Linked DNA regions of Drosophila melanogaster. The protein of the gene in region 1 interacts with the protein of each later gene in a pairwise test. Each region holds a gene or a part of one and is shown in the gene's direction. Other genes may lie near its edges. The genes, in order: bin3, CG13494, CG12081 and synr.

The links.
Region 2: the proteins of bin3 (region 1) and CG13494 interact in a two-hybrid assay, tested with the Drosophila melanogaster proteins (one large-scale study listed by BioGRID).
Region 3: the proteins of bin3 (region 1) and CG12081 interact in a two-hybrid assay, tested with the Drosophila melanogaster proteins (one large-scale study listed by BioGRID).
Region 4: the proteins of bin3 (region 1) and synr interact in a two-hybrid assay, tested with the Drosophila melanogaster proteins (one large-scale study listed by BioGRID).

The regions. Positions count from the first base shown.
Region 1 is NT_033778.4:6,212,660-6,218,943, forward strand, and holds the start of bin3 (bicoid-interacting protein 3), read left to right. Parts: upstream 1-1,908; 5' UTR 1,909-2,092; intron 2,093-3,537; exon of another isoform or gene 3,538-3,944; intron 3,945-4,026; exon of another isoform or gene 4,027-4,078; intron 4,079-4,165; exon of another isoform or gene 4,166-4,235; intron 4,236-5,780; exon of another isoform or gene 5,781-5,960; intron 5,961-6,284. Other genes in the region: Ttc7 (tetratricopeptide repeat domain 7), read right to left, coding at 1-499, 557-668, 810-1,092, 1,153-1,282.
Region 2 is NT_033778.4:21,952,772-21,957,004, reverse strand, and holds CG13494 (uncharacterized protein), read left to right. Parts: upstream 1-2,159; 5' UTR 2,160-2,232; coding exon 2,233-2,595; 3' UTR 2,596-2,763; downstream 2,764-4,233. Other genes in the region: CG43405 (uncharacterized protein), read left to right, coding at 3,053-3,322.
Region 3 is NC_004354.4:8,585,504-8,591,274, forward strand, and holds CG12081 (uncharacterized protein), read left to right. Parts: upstream 1-3,307; 5' UTR 3,308-3,647; coding exon 3,648-4,859; 3' UTR 4,860-5,271; downstream 5,272-5,771. Other genes in the region: CG12065 (uncharacterized protein), read left to right, coding at 307-415, 483-742, 1,049-1,105, 1,755-2,022, 2,085-2,664.
Region 4 is NT_033779.5:4,940,124-4,945,466, forward strand, and holds synr (sayonara), read left to right. Parts: upstream 1-2,618; 5' UTR 2,619-2,728; coding exon 2,729-2,821; intron 2,822-2,887; coding exon 2,888-3,157; intron 3,158-3,224; coding exon 3,225-3,625; intron 3,626-3,679; coding exon 3,680-3,865; intron 3,866-3,924; coding exon 3,925-4,111; 3' UTR 4,112-4,177; downstream 4,178-5,343. Other genes in the region: Sgs1 (salivary gland secretion 1), read left to right, coding at 1-1,243; mRpL24 (mitochondrial ribosomal protein L24), read right to left, coding at 4,178-4,293, 4,352-4,741, 4,804-4,957, 5,069-5,152.

The DNA.
Region 1 (6,284 bases):
GCTGGCGGGCTGCGTATTTACGCGGTTTCCAAAGTTTCTTGGAGGATCCTCCTCGCAGCGTCCCACCTCCAGATTTTCCGGTAAAAGGAGGCGAGTAAATCGTGCCCGAGACCCCTCTCAAAAGAACCTCAGCTAGCTGGCGGGCCAGCGTGAGGCGCAACGATTGAGTAGCCCTCGTTTCGATGGCGTTTAGCATGATTCGATACCGTTCAACGGCCTCTTGAAGCTTTTCCGTCTTAATAAGCACTATGGGTGCCCGTTGCAGGGCGGTCTCTAGGATGGCGCCCATCCTGCGGTTCATTTCCAGTCCACTTGGACCACTCGCCGGTATTGTACTGCTGATTGCAAAACTGCTGCTCGACGGCTGCACAGTAGAGGCGTTTACATTCAACGTAGAACCAGCTGTCGAGTTGTTGGACGAGCCACTGCTTCCACTAACGAGATCGTATTCCTGCAGATAGAGCAGCCCCAGATCAGATGCGCGCTCAAAACAGCTAATCTGGAGTAAGAAATTATTAAATCAGTTACGTTTTAAAACTGAAATCGAGGACTTTACCATTTCCGTGTCCTTTTCGGCCTTCTTAAACTTAGATGACGGCTTCGTAGTCTGCTGCTCCAGACACAATCCCTTGATGGCATACGATTCCGCAAGGATCTTCAGGCTGCGACTTTTATATATATGTAAGCAGAAGTGATAAGTTTTGCAAATTTGCTATTAATTAAGAGTTGATGTGTACATTCATCTTAATTTGCAAGTCCCCACGTAGTAGATGAGAACATTTTGATTAGAAAACCTTTTCCCAACTTACAGGGTCAGCTCCTTCTCGGCAAGCGTGTTGAGTTCTGCCTTGACGAAATTGTCTAGACTCTGCTCATACTCGCCGCAGGCAAAGCACAGCTTGGCCAGCAGCAAATAGGCGTCCAGGGCGATGCCCGCCTTCTGGCCACTCTCACCCAAAGCCAAGTGAAGGAAACGCCGGGCCTCCGCCAATCCAGACTTGGCGCGACCAAAATTTGAGTCTGACGCGAGAGCGTTTTCCTCCAGGTAACTCTCCAGACGAGCTTCCCCCACCAGAAAGTTGGCCAGGCACTCTGTTCCACGAAAGAAGGCAGTCATTCCAGGAGTACCGTCATCAGCGGAAATCTTCTTACCATTGTGCGGGGACCCGGTCTTCAGTTCATCCGTTAGCTCGATGACCCGGTGCCACTTGCCCTCGCTGCGACAGCTCTCAATCAGGGCCTCCACTTTGGTTGTGGTGTTACGCATGTTCTTGTTGGCCATATGTCCACTTCACGGATAATGTTGTCACTCTTTGCTTGCTGTGTGTGCCAGTGCGTGCCTGTGCTCGCTATAAAGCGGGTTCCTAAGAGCCTAAAGCGGATTCCTTCAAGACTAATCAAATTGTTTTGCAAACATTGGAGTTATCTGTTTTCTTCGCTCTTCTTCTTTCTCACATATGGCAGCATCTGTTATCGACAGCAACTATTATCGGTAGTCCCGCTAACAGCGTGCTGTAAAGCGATTTGTGTACCAGTGCTGTTAAGACATCTGTGGTCCGTCCCCTGTTAGCTGCTAACATGCTAACTCTCGGTCAGCTGTTCCATCTTTTTTTTTCCACAAGCGTGTGCAATCCATCAGAAGCTGTTCATATTGTTAATTGAATCGATAAGACCCAGTGTGGTAGCTCTTTCTTAAAAATATGAAACCTCTGCTCGCCAAATAGAACATTATCACATTATCCCTCATATTAGCAAGATGTCTTCATTTTATGTTGTTTTCTTACAACAGTTATGCATATGCATATGTACATACTATTATAAACTTCATTGTTTTTCGATTACTAATTTTTTCATTTTTAAAATTGGCAACACTGGTGGGCTCTGTTAACCGAGAATATATATAAAAATATGTTAGTTGTAAGTGTTTTCTTGCAGGAGACTGACGCACTTATTAGAGCTCCGCGAACGGAATCATATTTTACGGTTTTTTTTTTTTTTTATCAAGAGTGTGGCGAATTTAACGGCAACAACGAAACGAAAAGTGAAAACAAAGTTCAAGTCGCCACTGAGCAATCGTGGGGCTTTCTGGGCGGTAAGTGTTTTGTCCTTAAGATTCATTTTTGTTTTGTCTAAAGGCGCAGCACGTGTGGATTTGTGTGCACACTCAGCTGTTCCTAGGGTTTCTGTTTTTCGCGAGCACACACAAGTTAGCAATCAGTTGGAAAGCTATGAAGAAATGGAAGTAGTCCAGGCAGAGTATTTGGACAAGAGTAGTTTCTTAATTGTGTGTGTGTGCATAAACAAACGTTAAGTGCATTTCAACCTTCTAATAGGATATGGACCAGAAGAGTGGTCCCCGTATACCCTCTCTTATCGAGTTGACTTCCACTTTTGCTTTCAATTTTAGGAGCCATTTAAGCAATCAAATTTGTTTTTCCTGAGTGACCCCTCATGCCAACCGTTCTCGCAGTCATCGATAACTTTTATCGCGTGCCCCTCAGAAGTCAAAGTTAATTGCCAGTCTTTTATTTTTTTGCCCGGCCTTTTTGAGTTTTTGTTGCTTTTCGAATGTGCAATATTTCCATTTGCATTTCCATATACAAAATCTTAGGTAAAACATATATACAAATCAACACAAAACATCCATGTCAGATTCCAGGCTTTTGGCTCCTCTCATTCTTCAAATTTCTTGCCAATCTTTTAGGCTTCGGAGAGCATATTATTCACCCCAACCGAAGGAATTCGTCAAAAGCGGTGGTGGGGGTGGGCAGTTGGTTCCAGGGATAATAATGGTGGGGCGAACGGGTCGGATATGTGGGTTAGCAGTTCGATGCACAGTGGCTCTTTTACCCGAACTGCCAAAAAACAAATCAAACTGTCTTATGGAGCTGCTATAAGTATTAAATTAAAAATAGATTTTAATAGAAAAAGTAAAAATAGGAGTCCACTTCGAACGCTCCCCTGGTGCGCTTTGTCACAAAGTTAACACTTTCCTACAAAACACTATAAAGTGTAATTACGAACTAAATATTTTTTTCATTTTTTCTATCAAGACACTCATTTATTTGAGTATCATGGAAACCGTAGTCAAATTTAAACAAGCCAGAAGATGTTTAAATATATATACATAAATGTTTATATAGATTTGTTGAAAAGTAACAGATACAAGGAAGATTCGGCCACGAAGCTATTTTTTCCCAAATAAAATTCAAAATTAAAATTATTTTCTCATTTTCATGTCACTCCGAATATTAGCTAAAAGTGACATTAAAGGTATTACACGCATGTGGATTATGGTTACAGTGTCTTGTTCTATGAGTTTCCCGTTTATGGAAAGGAAAGTAAGCGCAAAACTGAAAAGTTGAAAAAAGGCGGCTTAACAATTTTAAAGTAGTGGGTGAATGGTTCCCGTTTGCATTCTTAACTTGATACACTTATAAAAACTTTCACTACAGTTTATAGAAAATGTATAAAATTTTAAAAGGAACTACCTTTTTAAAAGTAATTTTTTTCTTATCCTCTGAAAGAAATCAGGTTGCTACTTCCAAAATAGTTAATTACTATTATCTATAGCCATTATGAAGGAACTTATCTAGTAACAAGTTTATTGGTTTTAAGTATTTTGAATTTTCCTTATTTAGGCTATATCATTTTCTCTCAGTTTTTAGGGAGCTATATAAAATGTGCGTAGGACAAGTTAGAATATAAGATGGGTGAAATAGCCAAAAGACCGTTTGTTTCATTGTTCCTGCTGCATTGCCGCTGCAGTTTTTGTCCCGGCTGTTGTTGGTTTAGGTCCCGCAATCCTTTGTTTGCTTCTGCACATTCTTAATCCGCGCCAATGCATCTGTCAACGAGCCGGCGAACTCTCATTAGTGAAGCTTCGTTTTGTAGGCGTTCGTTAATGAACTACCCACATCGCGATGACCTTGATGTGAAAAAATCTGTAATTATGAAGAAAAGTAAGAAAGAAAATAACCAGAAAAAGGTAAAAATCCAGTATTTTTAAAATATTTGGATGGGTACCTTGATGACATCTTAGGAGTCCCAGGACATCTCTAAACTTTGTAAGGCCCATCTGATATATGTAAATATGTTATATTATCTTCTTAGTAGGCTCCCCAAACTGTGCAATATATTATTTGACAACAAAAATAATTGTTACCTTTCTATGTGCATGATGTATTTATTGTAATCTAATTTTTGTGCTCATTTTGGTTGGCTTACATTGTAAAATATTTACATTTTACCAAACGAAATGCTATTTCTGGACACTTTCTAAAAAAAAACGAACCCTTTTCGAAAAATCGCTCCAACACTCTGAGTAGAGGGTAACTGATTGCTTTGAACCTTGTTTGTATCTACATATCTCTATTTGTTTTGCTCTCTGAGCGCTCGTTGACTGGTCAACGAACCTGTTGCTGTTGTTAACAATAAAAAGCAACAAATTAAAAATATTATAGTCGCAACACCAACACTAGATGTTGGCAGTCTATGCAGGTATTAGGGAAATTCAACAGAAAACTTAAACATGGCGATTTGGAAATAAGTAAAAATTAAGAAATTTTGATTAAATAAAAGTGTTTATTAAATGGCATAAGAAATATATTATCTTTACTTTAAGTATGAGGTACCTTATTCTGGTCGCGTAACATTAGTATTACATACATTCCAGTTTGTACCGTCGGAAATTTAAGTCCCTTGCAGTTAATACCATGTAAAATTTATTAATGTGTTGCGGATCTGATTAAGTTACTCACTTATATACCGCAAATTGACTGCGTTTTGCAGTATTGTAATTTAGTAAAACACCTTAAGCATTTTATTTCGTAAAGTGTGAAAAGAAAGTTAAAAATCTTGACGCGAAATTAAAAGAAACAAAAGAGAACGCTGTAGTCGAGCCCATATACCATCAGATACCTGTTACTCAGCTAGTGGAAGTGCAAACGATAAATAATAATTATCAAAACATTTTCAAAAAATGTTGGCGTGACAGTTTTTGGCGGGTTGTAGGCAGTTAATAAATTTACGCTGCGTCATGGTCTCCGGAATCTAATCTCAAATTTTTAGCTCTTCTAATTCCTGTGACCTCGACGTTCATACGAACGGACAGACACTATGCCAGCAAACTAAAACTAACTATTACAAACTATGGTTTGTATTTGGTTTATATTTTTGGTTTATATTTTCTTAAAAATTCCTTACAAAATATATGTCACTCTTACACTTACACCATATACCCTGAATATCCCCAGGTTTTAAGACGTGCCAGTGTTAATAACGTCAGAAAGTCCTGAGCATCCTATTTGCATAACTCCCTAACATTCATTACTTTGATAAAGTAATTTACGTCAAATCAAACACCCAATCAATGTAGCTTGAATTATACAGTAGCATACAAACGCACACACTGATTGTCGTACAGACTTGCGAAAAAACTTGCTAAAAGCCTGACATGTTTAGATTGACTAAACGTTGTTTAAACTGAACTAGAATATCTATAAATTACGGCGCTAAAAAACAATCACTAGAAATTTAAAAAATAAAAGGACCATCAACAGTTATTAGCATTTGGAAAAAAGAAAATCGATGTGAAAACGATGGGAAAAATCCATGAATGGGCTTTGAATTGCTTCCGGTCACAGCGTCTATTTCCAATTCTCAGATATAGGTATATCTGATATAGAAAATTGGATGGTCGCTTTTCTCAGTGTGTTAACTCTTGAAGCGAACTATGTTGAATAATAAACCCAATTTTGTCAAAAACATTTGTCTCTTACTATGGTAGGCCGTGGACTTTTCAATTGACCTGCTAAGTCCTGGAATCCGAACTGCTCTGCATAGTCCAGGCAATCCTGGAACTTGTGATTGCTTTCGTGGCCACTGCTGGTGTTACGTCAAACCAGTCATTTTGCTCTGAATTTCTCATCTACTGTTCGGAGAACGCTCAATGCTTCCATGTGTGCCCTTATCACATTGTGAAGCTATTTATAGTTTCGCTTGCTGCTTTTTGCTCAGGCTTTTCATTTAATTTTTGCTGCGGTTTTATTGTCGTTGTTGTTCCCTATAATGTTGCGCTTGAGTATCCTTATTGGTTTTAGACTTCAGAGCAAAGAAAACTGTAATATACAAATTTTAAAAAATTTCGCTAATGGCCGCAATAGATCAAGATTATAAATAGTACCCAGTATGCATTCATAACATCATTTTGGTAAATGCCTTAACTCAAAAATTATCTATGATTTTGTATCACTATTTTTTCAAGTCTATATATAAAAAAAAAA
Region 2 (4,233 bases), about 16 Mb from region 1:
GGTCCATTGGGGCGGATTATGAGTAAGATGCTCTCGATTCGCCCCCCCCCCCCAAAAAAAAAAATAAAGAACAGCGCACAGAGCCAAGTCATAAAAATTGCATGAAAATGGGGCCGGCAAATTCGGCCGCCTCATCCACCGACTCATATGTGCGGGGATTATCTGCCGGATGGGATACGCCGGGAATCCAAGTGCTTGTCTTGTTTATTTGTTTGGCTTTTACGCCAAAAATTATACTATTACAATCAAGTTTACGATTGCGATTCGCTGCCCCCGTTGAGTGCCAATGAATGCGATGATGGCAGGATACGAACATGATCATTGCCATTGCGTTTGTTCCTGATGATGATGATGATTGGTTGGGAATACACATAAATTCAGCTGCGTACGATTTTCATTGGGGACGGATATCTGACCATTTGGGACTTTTCGACTAGGAAGTCATATTTGCCGGAAGATGATTTTCTTTACATTCGCATCTATTCAAGTGGAAAGATAGCCTTAACTTGCTATAAATCCATTTCTTAGATTTAAATAGTTTCTGAAAATATATTTAGTGTAGTGAAGACGCCTGTTTAGTATTCAGTTTTACCCCGAGATGGAATCGCAGACAGATGAGCCTAGTCCTTCCGCCTTTCAACGCGTTGCCCTGCAACTCATCCTTCGTCGAATTCTAATGTGCAAGTTGACTTTGTGCAATCGCGCATTGCATGCCACGCAGTTACCCCTCAGCCCGCAGCCAAAAGCTCTTAACCCCCTGAGGATCCTCAGCCGTTCGAGGGATGCGGCAACTACACGGAGGCACCAACCGCAGCAACAACAAGGACAACGCCTGCGACAGGATATGGCAAGTGGGCAACTTTGGAGCGGGCGAGTTTAAATTGCCAGAGCTAAAAGGGTTGCCAGCAACAACGCCGTGAAAAACGTAACTTTTTTCTGCTTTCCCCTACGATTTCATTCCTTCTTTTTTCAGAAAACATCGACAAGCGGCGCTTTTGACTGCCATTACCCACATTGCCACCCCTCGCAGCTTGTTTTTTGTGGCACAAAACTTTGCACTTTGACATGCAGCCACGTGTGCCATGATGCTATATGTTAAAGGTGTGTATGTGTGTGTGTGTGTGAGTGAGTTTGCAGGTGTGGGTGAATGCATGTCTGAGTGTGGGTGTCAGTGTGAGGCAGTGAATTGAATGAGCTTTCAATGCTGCCACCGCCAATTGGCCGACAAACGTGTCTAATAGTTCCCAATTGCAATCACTGATTTGTGATTCAGAACGAGAAGTGGATTTTTACTTTCCCGGTGAGTATATTATCAGGAGTTGTTTGATCAACCTTTAGTTACTTAACACAATGTTCAGTGTTTAATTATGGTTGAAGTCCAACGCAGTTTATATTTATTATGCACGAAACAGATAGATATCTGAAAAAATATATATTCATTTCGCTGTTTATCGAAGAGCTTCCTTTTGTTTTTTGCATTAAGTTGTTGACTCATTTTCTTAATTTTCTCTGTGGAGTAATCAGCGCACAAAATACAGTCATTATAATCAACGACCTCTTGGTACAGTAAACAGCTCCCTATAACGAACCCAGGCGCACACGTGCGCACACTTGAAAAAAATCTTTCTACTCGCATGAATATTTTAAAGCTCGCATCACATTCAAATTATGATAATGATGGCGTGAGGCGAGGGTGTGTTTTTTGCATATGAGTTAAAGTGGGGGTGTTTCGCAGAGTGGGTGTTTGGAGCGCTAACGAGCGCAGGTACACACAGGAGCTCAGGGACAGCTCCCCAGATCCCCGTTCGAGGACCACCCCTCTCTGCCAACCCAATCCCAGTTCCACCCGCAAAATGCTTTCGTTAATGCATTTCATTAATTATTATACAATTCGAATGGGCATTGTATGACGGGTGGTGTGTTCGTGGGTTTAATGAGTACTTTTGTGGAAAGGATTTTAAGTGCGATTGATCGTTAGAAGTCGCTTCGTGTGGAAGCGTGACGAATGCACCTATGCCCATAAGCTTCTTTGCTTTTGTCTTTCGTAGATGGGGAACTTGAATATATTTAAAACCAAATATGATGCTAAATTGAAAGTGGGCACATATGAAAATTGTGCTGAAGGAGTCTTTGAATACACACTCAACTTTGCTGTCTGAATTTTTGTAATTTATTCTAATTTACAATAAGCTAAACGTTAAACATTTCAATACCGTCAACAAGTGATTAATCATGGATGACACATTATCAACGGTAGAAGGCGGGATGACGGAAACATCCTCATGGAGCACCACGATCGCCACCACCACCACTACAGAGGCCGCCAAGGCGGGTAGCATGGCTGTCGGTATTATTGTCCTGATCGTTGTTATGGTGCTCCTCTGCTGCCTGCTCATCATCTGCCTGCCGCTCCTCTGCCTGTGCGGCTGTTGCGGACTCGCCTGCTCCGCGTGCCTCGCTTGCGACGAAGGATGTTGTGGTGAAGGCGGCGGCGGTGGATGTTGCGGCGATGACGGCGGTGGATGTTGCGGCGATGGCGGCGGGTGTGGCGATTGTGGCGACGGCTGTGGGGACTGCACCTTGGACGATGATTAATTCGGCGATAATTCAAGTTTCTATTAATATGTACGTAGTGCTAGGATATGCGATTCGAAAGCCTATAAATTTAATGTGCTCAGGTACAGATTCGTTAGGAGCATCCGTATGCTCATTGGCAAAATTGTTGTCTATTCATAAAAAATAAAAAAATCTAGCTTAATTTTGAAATGATATCTATTAACTTAATATATGGCAACCAAAAATCAAATTTAAAGTACAAAAAAATATCGACTTCAGTAAGCTGCGACTGTACTCTTAAAATTAAAAAAAAATCTATACCCAAAATAAAATTTCTGAAGGGTCAGGGTCATCGAAATTCTTAAGCTGCTATGCAAGGAACGGTGAGAAGCATTCGTTAATTTAATGTGATTTTCCTTATACATATTTCCTTCCATTTAGAGGGTTCAATCTATTATCGAAAGCAACAAAATTTGCAATTTATTTCCCATAAGCTATGGCCGAGTTGGATGCTACAACCCTATCTGAATACGATATTGAATATATAGACTTTAACATGACAACTGTGGCGTACCGTACAACCACTGGACACCCGGATACTAACCTAGGTGCTTGGGGACTTTTGTTCATATTCGTCGTAATTTTTCTTATCATTGCTGCCTGCTGTGCTTGTATGGGTGTTCTCGTCCTTTTTGGTTGTATGAAGTCCTTTCTCTGTTTTCGCTGTAGACGCCGAGGCGACGAGTTTATAGGAAGGGAACCCTGACTGTCGTTGAAATTCTGTCATTAAAACTGAAACTTGTGCTAATAAAATTATATGTTTTGTATGAATCGAAGTCCAAAGGAATTATTTTGCCGACAAATTAATGCGGTCCTGCCAAATTACGGCAGAGTAATTGGAAAAGGATGTACTGAAGTTCAATATAACATTAACCAAACATAATTCTAAGGAGAAACGTCAGGACTTACCAGATTCCTGGACAAGTGGCATCTACCAGTAGAGAATCCTTGGCCAAAGTGCCAGTGTGACAAATGTAAACCGATTAGCCACAGCTGGGGCCGATTATCAGATGGCCCAAAGAAAATAGCCCAGGCCCTACAGAAAATGCCTCAGGTCAGGAATTTCCAGAGCTTTCTCTGCGGACTGTGGACTATGGACTGAGTGCATAAATTCCTGGCATCTCCTGCAGCTGCAGGAAAGACACAAAACACTCGCCCAAGTCCAAGTCGTAAATGCACTCAGCACTTTGTCAGCTCTCAGACAGGAAATGCAGTTGCCATTTTTCTTTCATCCCAGCAAATCCCGTTCACCTCCTGCCTTTGGCCCCCGCCCGGAAAGTCGTTCTGCAACTGTCTACATTTTTCACTTGCCATCCATAAAAAGTATCAGTTTTAGTTTCAGTTTTAGTCCTCGCTTGGCTAAAAGTCTCGTATGTCTTTTGCCTGTCTGTTGGCTCTGTTGTTTTGCTGTCTCAATTTCGCCAACGCTTCCATATTCAGTTTCATAATTTTTACCCAAGTTTATCATCCTCTTTGCCAGGCATGACAAAGTTTTCATTGCCGTCGACACAGGGCCTGGAAAAAGTTTCCTCCAGCTGTGAAGTGCATTAAACAATGCCCTCATACATGATCCGAGTGATGAGGAAGGGGACGTGCTGTGCTAAAATTGCATTTATC
Region 3 (5,771 bases), on another chromosome or scaffold:
TTATCCTCAAAATGCAGTTGACATCTCGAGTGTCCAATTTGTCTGCTGTCTGCAATTAAAATGCGCTGCTTGAGCACTTAATTGACCGCCCTGCCAGCCGTCTGACTGTGTGTGTGTGTGCTCGTGTGCCTGTGCGTTTCCTTTACTAACAGACACCGCCTAACCAGCCACGCCCACCGCTCAGAGTAGATGTCATTGCCCGCTAACAGAAGAGTCCTTGCTAAATGTATAACCATTGGTAGCGGGAATTGCCCAGACATTGTGCTTTAATCGTGTTTGTTGTTTCCTTTGCTCTCATCCCCGTAGTTTCGCTCGAGGAATCGCAGTTCGAATCACCGCCGTTGACTCAGGAGAAGGTGCTGGAGCTCATCGAGCAGGCATATCCCAATCCCGTGTCCCCCGAGGATCTGGCCAAGTGAGTACATCAAGATCCGTTTGAAGTCTAGACCTGAGATGTAATTAATTCATTTTGTTTAATGCAGGGATTACGGCTGGAGCGAGCAGGATGTGCTGCTGGTGATCAAGTCACTGCAGGAGCGCGGTCTGATCAAGTCGATGGAGTACAATGCGTACACTCGCATCCATCACGAGGACAAGGAGATTAAGGTGGTCAAGCAGATGCCCACGATCGCCTCCAACAAGCAGCCCACCATTGCCATCATCACGGCGCAATATTGCGAGAAGCTCGCCGTGGACGCAATGCTCGAGAACAAGGAGACATTCGTCCGATACACCACAGTCGGTAGGTGGTTCAGTTCAGTTCAGTTCAGTTCGATAGCGAATCGAATTTCCCTCAACTCTTACTAATCAAACTCTCGTCTAACCGTCTTTTCTCTGTTTCTCTCTTTCCACTTCTGTATCCCAAATACCTCGACTTTTGTGGAAACAAAAAAAAAATATATATATATCCTCATCACCACGAAAATTTCGCCATAAACGAATGAATTTGCATACAAATTTGCTGATGTTTACTTGCCTGCAATGATATTAATTAAATACAAACCTTTCACCTTTCCCCCGAATCGAAAAATACCAAACCATGTAACAGATTCCGATCCCAATCTAACGAACTCACTCAGAAAGTCCAAAAAGAAACGAAGATTCGGTAAGCTAAATGTCCAGAATCCACTCCTTAACTCAGAAGCACCCATATGTATATCCAAGGTCAAGTTCATGAGTTTTTTTTAGATCATTAATACTCTAAAGAATCATCTTTGAATCAAAAATAACAATAGTAATGCAATCGATTGAACATGGAGCGTTCGCATGTATCGAGTGCGCACTGTACGCGAATGAGTTGCCATAAACTTGGATAGAAAGTTATGAACTTGGCCTAGAATAATTCGATTTGTTGTAACTTTCGTGTCCTTTGTGTGTCTGTGCTGTATCGTCGTCGGTGCTTTGTTTTGTTTCATTTGTTTTGTTGTTATGGTAAAGGATTGCCCCAGGATACATGACCTTATATTGTACATATACACATGTAACTACGTCATTAGACGGATTGATTAGATCCGTCACACACTCGGTTCATTAATTGGTTTATGTTTTGTATTTTGATCGCAAAAGAATATGGGATGTATGGAAAATTATAATTGGTGTTTCTTTTTCTTTTTTTAAATATGATTTGTTCCTTATTTCATGTTCTTTTCATTCCTCTTTGTATAATTTGGTATATATGTATCTATCAATGTCCTGAACGTAAACCGCTTTCTGTAAGCCAATCAATTGATCCAAACTTTCTCTCTACTCCACAGGCGAATCGAATGTGTATACTCTGGGCAATATCGGGGCGCACAGGATCGTGAGCACCAAGCTCCCGTCGGTGGGCAGCAATCGGGAGGCGATGACGGCGACGGGCAATACCACAACCCGTCTGTTGGGCACATTCCAAAAGGTCGACTATGTTTTCATCGTGGGCGTAGCCGGTGGCGTTCCCCACTACACGGACTATAAGAAGCACGTGCGACTGGGCGATGTGGTCATCTCGTATGTGGACAAACAGCGGGCACTGATCAGCAATAGGTAAGTTACACGAATATAAAATCTTCAATCTATCAATCGCATTCATGTATGGCTCTTCACAGCAAGGAGAAACCGTACGTGTACTTGTACAAGAGCGGCGAGGACGTGAAGACCTACTTCCCGGTGAACGATTCGCTGCAGCAGATCGCCGAGAGCCTGCAGGCCAACATGCAGGTGAAGCGGCCGTGGGAGGACTACCTGAACCAGGCCCAACAGGCGTTGGCCCAGAAGACGGATGCCGACTTCAACCGGCCGGACGCGCGGACGGACAAACTGTTTATGAACATTGGAAATAACGAGGTGATCGAGGTGGCCCATCCCATTGCCGCCGACGAGGTGGACGGTGTCAATCGGTTGCGACTCCATCTGGGTCCCATTGGATCCGGAAGGGATCTGGTGAGGAGCGACGAGCTGCGCACCCAGTTCGCCAGGAAGTACGGCCTACTGGCCACCGATGTGGAGATGAGCAGCGTGCTGGACAGCATCATTGGCAATTGCAGAGAGAGCTTTATACTGGTGAAGGGCATCGCTGACTACAAGGACGGCACGTCCACCAGGAAGTGGCAAAACTTCGCTGCCATTTCGGCGGCGTCGGTGGTTAAGTCGGTTATCTGCGGCATGGACGCGCCCACGAATGTATAGGAGGCGGGGCTTCGAATACCCCATTTCCTCCATTACACCCCAACCCCCCCGCCCACCCCTTCCCTGCAATCGTAGCATTTGATTTGCCTCCAATTTTCGTACCAATCCCGCTGCGGCGTCCCTTTATTTTTTTGTGGCCAGACACATGGGGACCACTATTCGTAAACCAAAATGTGCATAGATTGCATCATATATAATGTATGTTCGCGTAATATTGTATTAAATGATTTCTTGTTATTTATTTTGTTATAACTTTTGTACTACAATCAATCTAATTTACACACAAACACTTGACGTATATAAAAACACATATATACAACAGTAAATAAATATCGCAACTAAGCTTGCAAAAACTAAGAATATTCAATGAGAATTTGTGATTGAGTGAAAAAAAGTTCAGGTAAATTGACCAAAGACATTAGAATATTCTAATTCATTGTTTGGAGCTTCATCTTAAAAATCAATCTAGTGTAAATGCACATTGCCATTGCAACTGTTTCGCTAAAATAGCTAAATATTTAATGCAAATACATTGGATTTTCGAATTTGTCATTTTTTAAATGCAATTGTCAATCAGAAATCTATACTATCGATATCGATAACAGCACGACCCAGTGGAGCCCTGCTATTTCGTGCGTCCGCTCACGCACGCAACTCTGTGTGCTTGTGTTGTTCAAAAATTCGATCCGTTTCGTTTCGTTTCAACATCTGGCAAAACTGGCAGAGCGGAGCGCAGCTAGCGCTTGGTATCAGTGTTTATACCTGTGTGGCCTTCAATTGCTCGCACCTGCGCCCGCACCACCCTGCCCCCGCTCCCAAAAGGAGCGACAACTGCGGCGCACTTGCTTTCCTTTGTGTGTTTTGGCTGCTTGGGCTGCTCGGGCAGCTTGGGCCCAAAGCAAAGATCTCCGTCTCCTCGCACAGCACACTGGTGCTACACGGCTCGCAGCCCACAGCGCACAGCTTATCCAGTTGGCCAAGACATGCTGTGGACGGTGCATCTGGACGGTGGGCCACAGCGGGTCAATCACGCAGCGGTGGGCGTGGGCGACTTCATCTACAGCTTTGGTGGCTACTGCACCGGATACGATTATCGCTACAATGAGCCCATCGATGTGCACGCCCTGAATGCACACACAATGCGCTGGACTCTGGTGCCCCAGCAGCTGGACGACGCGGGTGTGCCACTCAAGTATCCGCTGGTGCCCTTCCAGCGCTACGGACACACGGTGGTGGCCTACAAGGATCGCATCTACATTTGGGGCGGTCGCAACGACGAGAATCTCTGCAATACCCTCTACTGCTTCGATCCCAAGACAGCGCAGTGGTCGAGGCCCCAGGTCACTGGCTGTCTACCCGGAGCGCGGGATGGTCACTCGGCCTGTGTCATTGGCAATAGTATGTACATCTTCGGTGGATTCGTCGATGAGATCAACGAGTTCAGCAGCGATGTGCATTCCCTTAATCTGGACACCATGGAGTGGCGCTATGTTCAGACATTTGGCGTGCCGCCCAGCTACAGAGATTTTCATGCGTCGGTGGCCTACGAACAGGAGCGAATGTACATCTTCGGCGGGCGGGGCGATAAGCACAGTCCGTACCACAGCCAGGAGGAGACCTACTGTCACGAGATCGTCTACCTGGACATGAAGACCAAGGTGTGGCATCGACCGTTCACGGCCGGTAAGGTGCCCGTTGGTCGACGCAGCCACAGCATGTTCGTTTACAACAAGCTGATATATGTCTTCGGTGGCTATAATGGCCTGTTGGATCAGCATTTCAACGATCTGTACACCTTCGATCCGCGCACCAAGCTGTGGAACCTGATACGGGCCAACGGCAAGGCACCGACGGCGCGTCGGAGACAGTGCGCCATTGTGATGGGCACTAGGATGTTCCTGTTTGGCGGCACCAGTCCAAGGAGCGGCTCCTCCAGCTCGCCGGCAGCTGTTTCACCCACTCAAGAGACGGGCGGAGCCGCAGCGGCTGGCGGAGTTGTTCCGCCCGGTGTGGCGCTTATCGACTACAGCGATCTGCATGTGCTCGACTTTGAGCCCACTCTAAAAACCCTGGCCACCATGGTGGTGCTCAAGCACCAGCTGGACATCTCGGGGCTGCCAAGGAGCTTCCGCTCGGACCTGCAGATGCTGACACAGCCGAACAGTATTAGCCGGCCCATCAACCAAGCTGGCTAGCGTCCAAAGCCGTAAGGAATAAGCCGGAGTCGACTGCCACAAAATGGAATGAGGTGGAAAAATGGTGTTGAATCACGGAGCCACTAGTCCGGTTCTTTGTATTGGAGCTCGAATAACACTTTCGGGAGAGATGACGAATGGAGGACCTGAGCGAACGAGGGAGAAGCCCCAGTAATTACAAAAGTTTTAGAAACTTGCTTTTGGTACTTCTGATAGCTGCTAAATAATACACAATAATTATGACCATGCGAATGTAGAATATAGTTCATGAAACATTTATAAATCGTCCTCAAATAATACACAATAATAATGACTATGCGAGTATAGAATATAGTTGATGAAACATTTATAAATCGTCCTTTCGCCAAAATGCCCGATAAGAAAATGAATATAATATCTTAAACTCATTAATCATATTATTCAGTTTTGTTTACTTTGCCTTCTTGCTGAATTTTGTATAGCTGGTTAACTTAACACTATATTAATCTGTGGGCCGTTCATTGCGAACTCCAAACTTGCACGAGTCGGCTGTTTAAATATTTGCTTTTCGCATTAGGATCTATGTGGCAGCCGTTTCGTTAATTTAGACACTTTCAAACCGCCAAGGTATTCATCTCACCTTGGAATTACCTAATCTATTTTTGCGGTCAAACTAGTGACAAATCTCTATAACTAATTTACAGAGATCATCTCCTTTTAGGCAGTGTATGCATATATATATATATATGGTAATTGTGGATGTAACTCCCCTTGAACGCGGTGTTCCAGGCAGGAAACAGTCATCGAATCACTTGAAAGCAACAGCCTCGCACGCAATGCCAGTAAGAGTAAGGTCAGCAGCGCTCTAATTGCCTATTATGAGTGGTAGTTGCAACGCAAGGCCTCCAGGTGCGGAACACAGCGAGTACTTGG
Region 4 (5,343 bases), on another chromosome or scaffold:
TGGCCCAACGACAACTACTCCTAGATCCACAACAACAACTTCCACAAGTGGCCCAACGACAACTACTCCTAGATCCACAACAACAACTTCCACAAGTGGCCCAACGACAACTACTCCTAGATCCACAACAACAACTTCCACAAGTTGCCCAACGACAACTACTCCTAGATCCACAACAACAACTTGCACAAGTGGCCCAACGACAACTACTCCTAGATCCACAACAACAACTTGCACAAGTTGCCCAACGACAACTACTCCTAGATCCACAACAACAACTTGCACAAGTTGCCCAACGACAACTACTCCTAGATCCACAACAACAACTTGCACAAGTGGCCCAACGACAACTACTCCTAGATCCACAACAAAAACCTCCACTTGTGCCCCAACGACAACTACTCCTAGATCCACAACAACAACTTCCACAAGTCGCCCAACGACAACTACTCCTAGATCCACAACAACAACTACCACAAGTCGCCCAACGACGACTACTCCTAGATCCACAACAACACCTTCCACAAGTCGCCCAACCACAACTACTCCTAGATCCACAACAACTACTTCCACAAGTCGCCCAACGACAACTACTCCTAGATCCACAACAAAAACTTCCACTTGTGCCCCAACGACAACTACTCCTAGATCCACAACAACAACTACCACAAGTCGCCCAACGACAACTACTCCTAGATCCACAACAACAACTACCACAAGTCGCCCAACGACAACTACTCCTAGATCCACAACAACACCTTGCACAAGTCGCCCAACCACAACTACTCCTAGATCCACAACAACAACTACCACAAGTCGCCCAACGACAACTACTCCTAGATCCACAACAACACCTTGTCCAACTACAACACCATCTGCAAGTCCTACAAGAACAACAACAACCCGTCGTCCTTGCCCTTGCCATCCCCAGCCTCCTTACCAGATTCCTCCTTGGTCATGGTGGTATCCGAACCCGACCTACCCCAATCCCGTGTGGCCCTGGCAACCTAACCCAGTCGTTCCTCAATGGCCACAGATGCCCGGATATCCAAATCAGTGGCCACAATTACCAGGTTATCCCCAGCAATTACCACCGCCGTTGCCATCACCTCAGTGGCCGTGGTCTTGGCCAAAACCACCAGTAGTTCAACCTGGCGACTGTGAAAACATATGCGAAAACCTACTGAAGGGAGTAAAATATCAAGAAGATCTCATCAGAAGGTGCTTGTGCACACGAACATAATCCTTTAAAAAAGAATCACGTAATTGTTTTATTAAAATGTTGTCTATTTAAAAAAATAACTTAAAACAAAGTTTTGATGGTTAAAAATATCGAACGGGTATGGTATGGATGTAGGTTTGATGATATTGAATGGCAAGTCTATCCTTCAGAAGTGGGAGGAAGGATTATGGATGTCACAATGGCGCATGCGCCTATATGGTTTTTGGATTCCCATGTTTTGCTTAACACTTTCGTCCCTGAGAAGCTCAGAAAGCTTGGGCGCCATTCATCAACAAGTTTGCATTCGGACTTCAGCACTCTAATCGACACTTGACTACATTATTACTTATTTAAACGCAATCATTTGACCCATTATTTTCCGACGCCTTTGCGTTTGGTTGCACTGCATTGCTCATGCGACATATGGTCGCACTATATGTTTGGAGCACACATTCGGACAAGTTTAATGACCAATTGCCAAGGGATTGGAGAACTCACTGCTCTTCGAATTAGGTTAGCACATTAGCTGGTTAAGGACAAACGTGGATTGAAGTTAGGATGGGGAGAGAAACAGGAAAACTTAACGAGTTCTAGCATATGATAATGTGTACAGCCATAAACTTATAGCTAACATCGTAATCCGTGCACAAGCTATTAAAAACTTCAAGAAGATATGTCCCTAAATTTTTCCAATAGTAATAAATATATAACCAAATTTACTCTCTCTGTAGGGCATACTACAATCCTAATAAGCTATAAACACTCCAGAGCAGAGCCTCTAATTTGCTGGTAATTTATCAAAATCTAGATTATAATCCTGCTGATGGATTATGTTTCGGGTCGATTAGTACCCCAGTTATAGGACTACTAGAGTTCGTCCTTCGTTCAGCTGAGCTTGCACATTTCCTACACAATAAGCAGATGTTAATGGCTCCCTTCTTTGTTGTTTTTGTTAACTTGTTAATACAAATACACCGTGTGCCAATTCACAAATCCAACAAGGTATAGTGGACATGCCAACAAAAAAGCTAGCAAAGCAAATAACACATTGTTGACAAACAGCGGGCTATTGGGGTGAACCTTCAAAAATCTATTGAACAAAAGTATTACTCGTCATATGTATTGTAGCATTTTAATTAAGGAAACATGTATTTTAATCAATATAACTTAAACTTAAAGATAGTAATGGTTGCACATGTCGTATGCGCAATTTTCATGAAGAGTGGTCCGCTCTAAAGGACACATACGTGGTAACAAGGGGGCTACGCTGGCCCCTGTCCCCACCTCCCGAAATGGTTTGTGGGTGGATTTGGTGTGGCCCTGTCCAATGGCTAGCGCGCAAAAATAATTTTTGTTATTGTGTTTTCCCTCATAAGTGGACATGACGGACCCAACGAAAGCTCATTCAGCGCTGGACAGGCGAACTGGAAAGGTCTAAGACGGAAGATGTCATCGCCGGCAGAGCGGGCGAACTTCGTGCAGCACTTCGGACAGACAACCTGAGTGATGGGCTGTGGCTCCTCCATGGATACGCAGACGAATCCTGTCGTCACGGAGGTCAGCTCGGAAATGCAACCTCGCCAGAATGGCGCCTCTGGAGTAATAGCACTTGAACAAGTCGTCTTACCTTTGCCATAATCAATACCTCTTCCATTTCGTCATCAGAATGTGGTCGAGCAATATGTGCGCCTGGACGAGCAGATCAGCAAGCTGGAGGGCACATGTCCTGGTCCTCGAATGGCCACCGCCGAGGCCTGGGTGGAGCACATTCAGAGCAAGCACGAGGCGATGCTGGGACTCGATGGCATGGGAGTGTCTCCTTTGCGCGAGAGGGAATGGGAAACCGAGGAGGCCCTGCCCATTCCAGCTTACACAATGGGGGGGCGGCAGGGCGACCCAATTGTGGCCAACACGCCCACCAAGGACCTGGCCCAGGTAAATGGCCTGCCATTAGTGAATGTGATGAACTTCCCTCAAGTATATTATTACCATTCGACTTTAGCTTGCCTACAACCTGGGCGTAATTGGCGATGCCCGCAAGGCTTCCATGCACGAGGATTTCTTCGCCAACCTGAGCGAGTCCGCCATGTATTTGCTTAGCATTCGTTACTACGGCGAGATGTTGGAACACACTAAGGTGCGTCTAAAGACTCTGGCCGAGAGCTATGCAGAGCTGAACGAGCTGTACGTAAAGCAAGACGGGATTATAGCGTATATAAGCGGGGGAACGTACATGACTCGGCTGGAGGAGAGCATTGATGAGCAGCTTGAGACGGCAAGAGATACAAGGGATAAGCTGGGCAGCGCACTGGAGCAGTGGCGCATCTGTGGATTACTACTTAGAGCAGCCGCGAATTCCTCGACGCAGGCATTAAAACAATGGCGACAGCTTGGACGGATAATGTGGGTAAATTAATTCCCCACTTAGAACTTGTTGACATGTTATTTCTCGTTCAGAGATCCCAAGCAAAAGCTTCAGTGGGCGTTGGACTGTCGAAGTCTGTTACACGCCTCCACGATATCCCTAGAGGCGGCTCAGCTGGCTCTGCCGCACGTGGAACTCAAGTACATGAGTCATCGGCAAGTCCTAGCCGTCAAGCACTGCAACACCTACCTAATCACGGATATAGCAAACAAAGCGCGGTAAGTTAATATATAGATTTCTCTAGAATCTTCTACAAAGGGAAACGAATCCCTTTTAGGTACGAGCACACCAGTCGGGTCTTCACCAGTTACGAATCAAACATGTCCAAAACCTGCACGTGGCTCTACGAAACCTTTAACAGCACGCTGCGCCCAGACTACGACAGGGCGGAGGAAACTGTATGCGGGCTGGCCAAGACGCTCCGGGATCATCGCGAGGAGGTCTTCAACACGGTGCGCAAGTGACATTAAACTTATTGCTCAATTATATGGGTATTTTGTACATTACTTTAATAAACAGTAGGCATAACATTAGTACCAATAGCTCTTGACTGGCGTGCGTTCCTCTTTGATGCCCATTTCCTCCATAATGTCCATCTCGAATGTGGACAACTTGGGCTGAAAGGTGATCTCGCCCACAACAGCGCCTGAAAAGGACAGACTTGTATGACTAGGAACATATTGAAATGCGATAATAGCCCATACCTGGCGTATCCTTCTCCCTTTCGATATAGGCGTTTGGTGTTTTATAATCGTGCGTCTGGTTGTTCGTCTCCGGGATGGGTATGATTCGGCCAGATCGCAAGGACACCCGCACTTTCTCGCCCTCCTCCGTGAAACGCCACTCAAAGTCGGTGCCCTGAAGATCCGATGGGTCAACCAGACGAATGTCCTTGGTGACGTGCAAAGGTGCCTCGGACTTGATAATGATACCGGGAAACTCCTTCTCACCGCCAACCTTGCGATAGTGCCAGTTCAGGCCCTCTACAATTACCCAATTGCGCTCGGGTATAACCTGGGTGACAATTCCCTGCTTTCCTTTGTCTTTACCCACAAGGACTTCGATACGATCGCCGCGGAAAAAGCTCCAGTCCTCTGAAAAGGATATACAACCATGTTTTATTAGGTTTTAGAGGTCAAGGCTTCTTATTCCTTACCAATTGGTTCCACTAGCACCTTGCGACGCACGGTTCCGGGCATATTTTGCTGGCGGAACTGACCCGTCCATGAACGATTTGTGGTGTAGCGGAATCTCTTTCGCTCCACGGTACGCGGTAGGTAATTAATCTCCTTCGGAGTTTGCCAGTACACCTGTGTTGAGATGAAAAAAAATATTTTAATAAATGTGAAACATTTTCCATGCGATGTGTTACGTGAGCCGCTGTTCACAAGTTGTTCAATGAAAAAGACTCTTCCTGTTACCTGTTTTTTGCTGCGCTCGATGTATTCCTTGGGCAGATTGGAAAAGTTCTTCAACTTGCTGGCCAAATATTGCGTTAAACGCATTTTGAAAGGTTAATTCAATTATTAATAATAAGAACTAGTAAATTAAATGCGGCTTGCAATCAGCTGTTGAGAACTGAAGAATAGCCATTCACAGGAAGGCCCAACAATTTTATTTATATTTAATGTTTATGCGACTCTAAAGATTATGAACACTTGATGTAGGCTTGTAAAATATTTAAATTAATTATTTT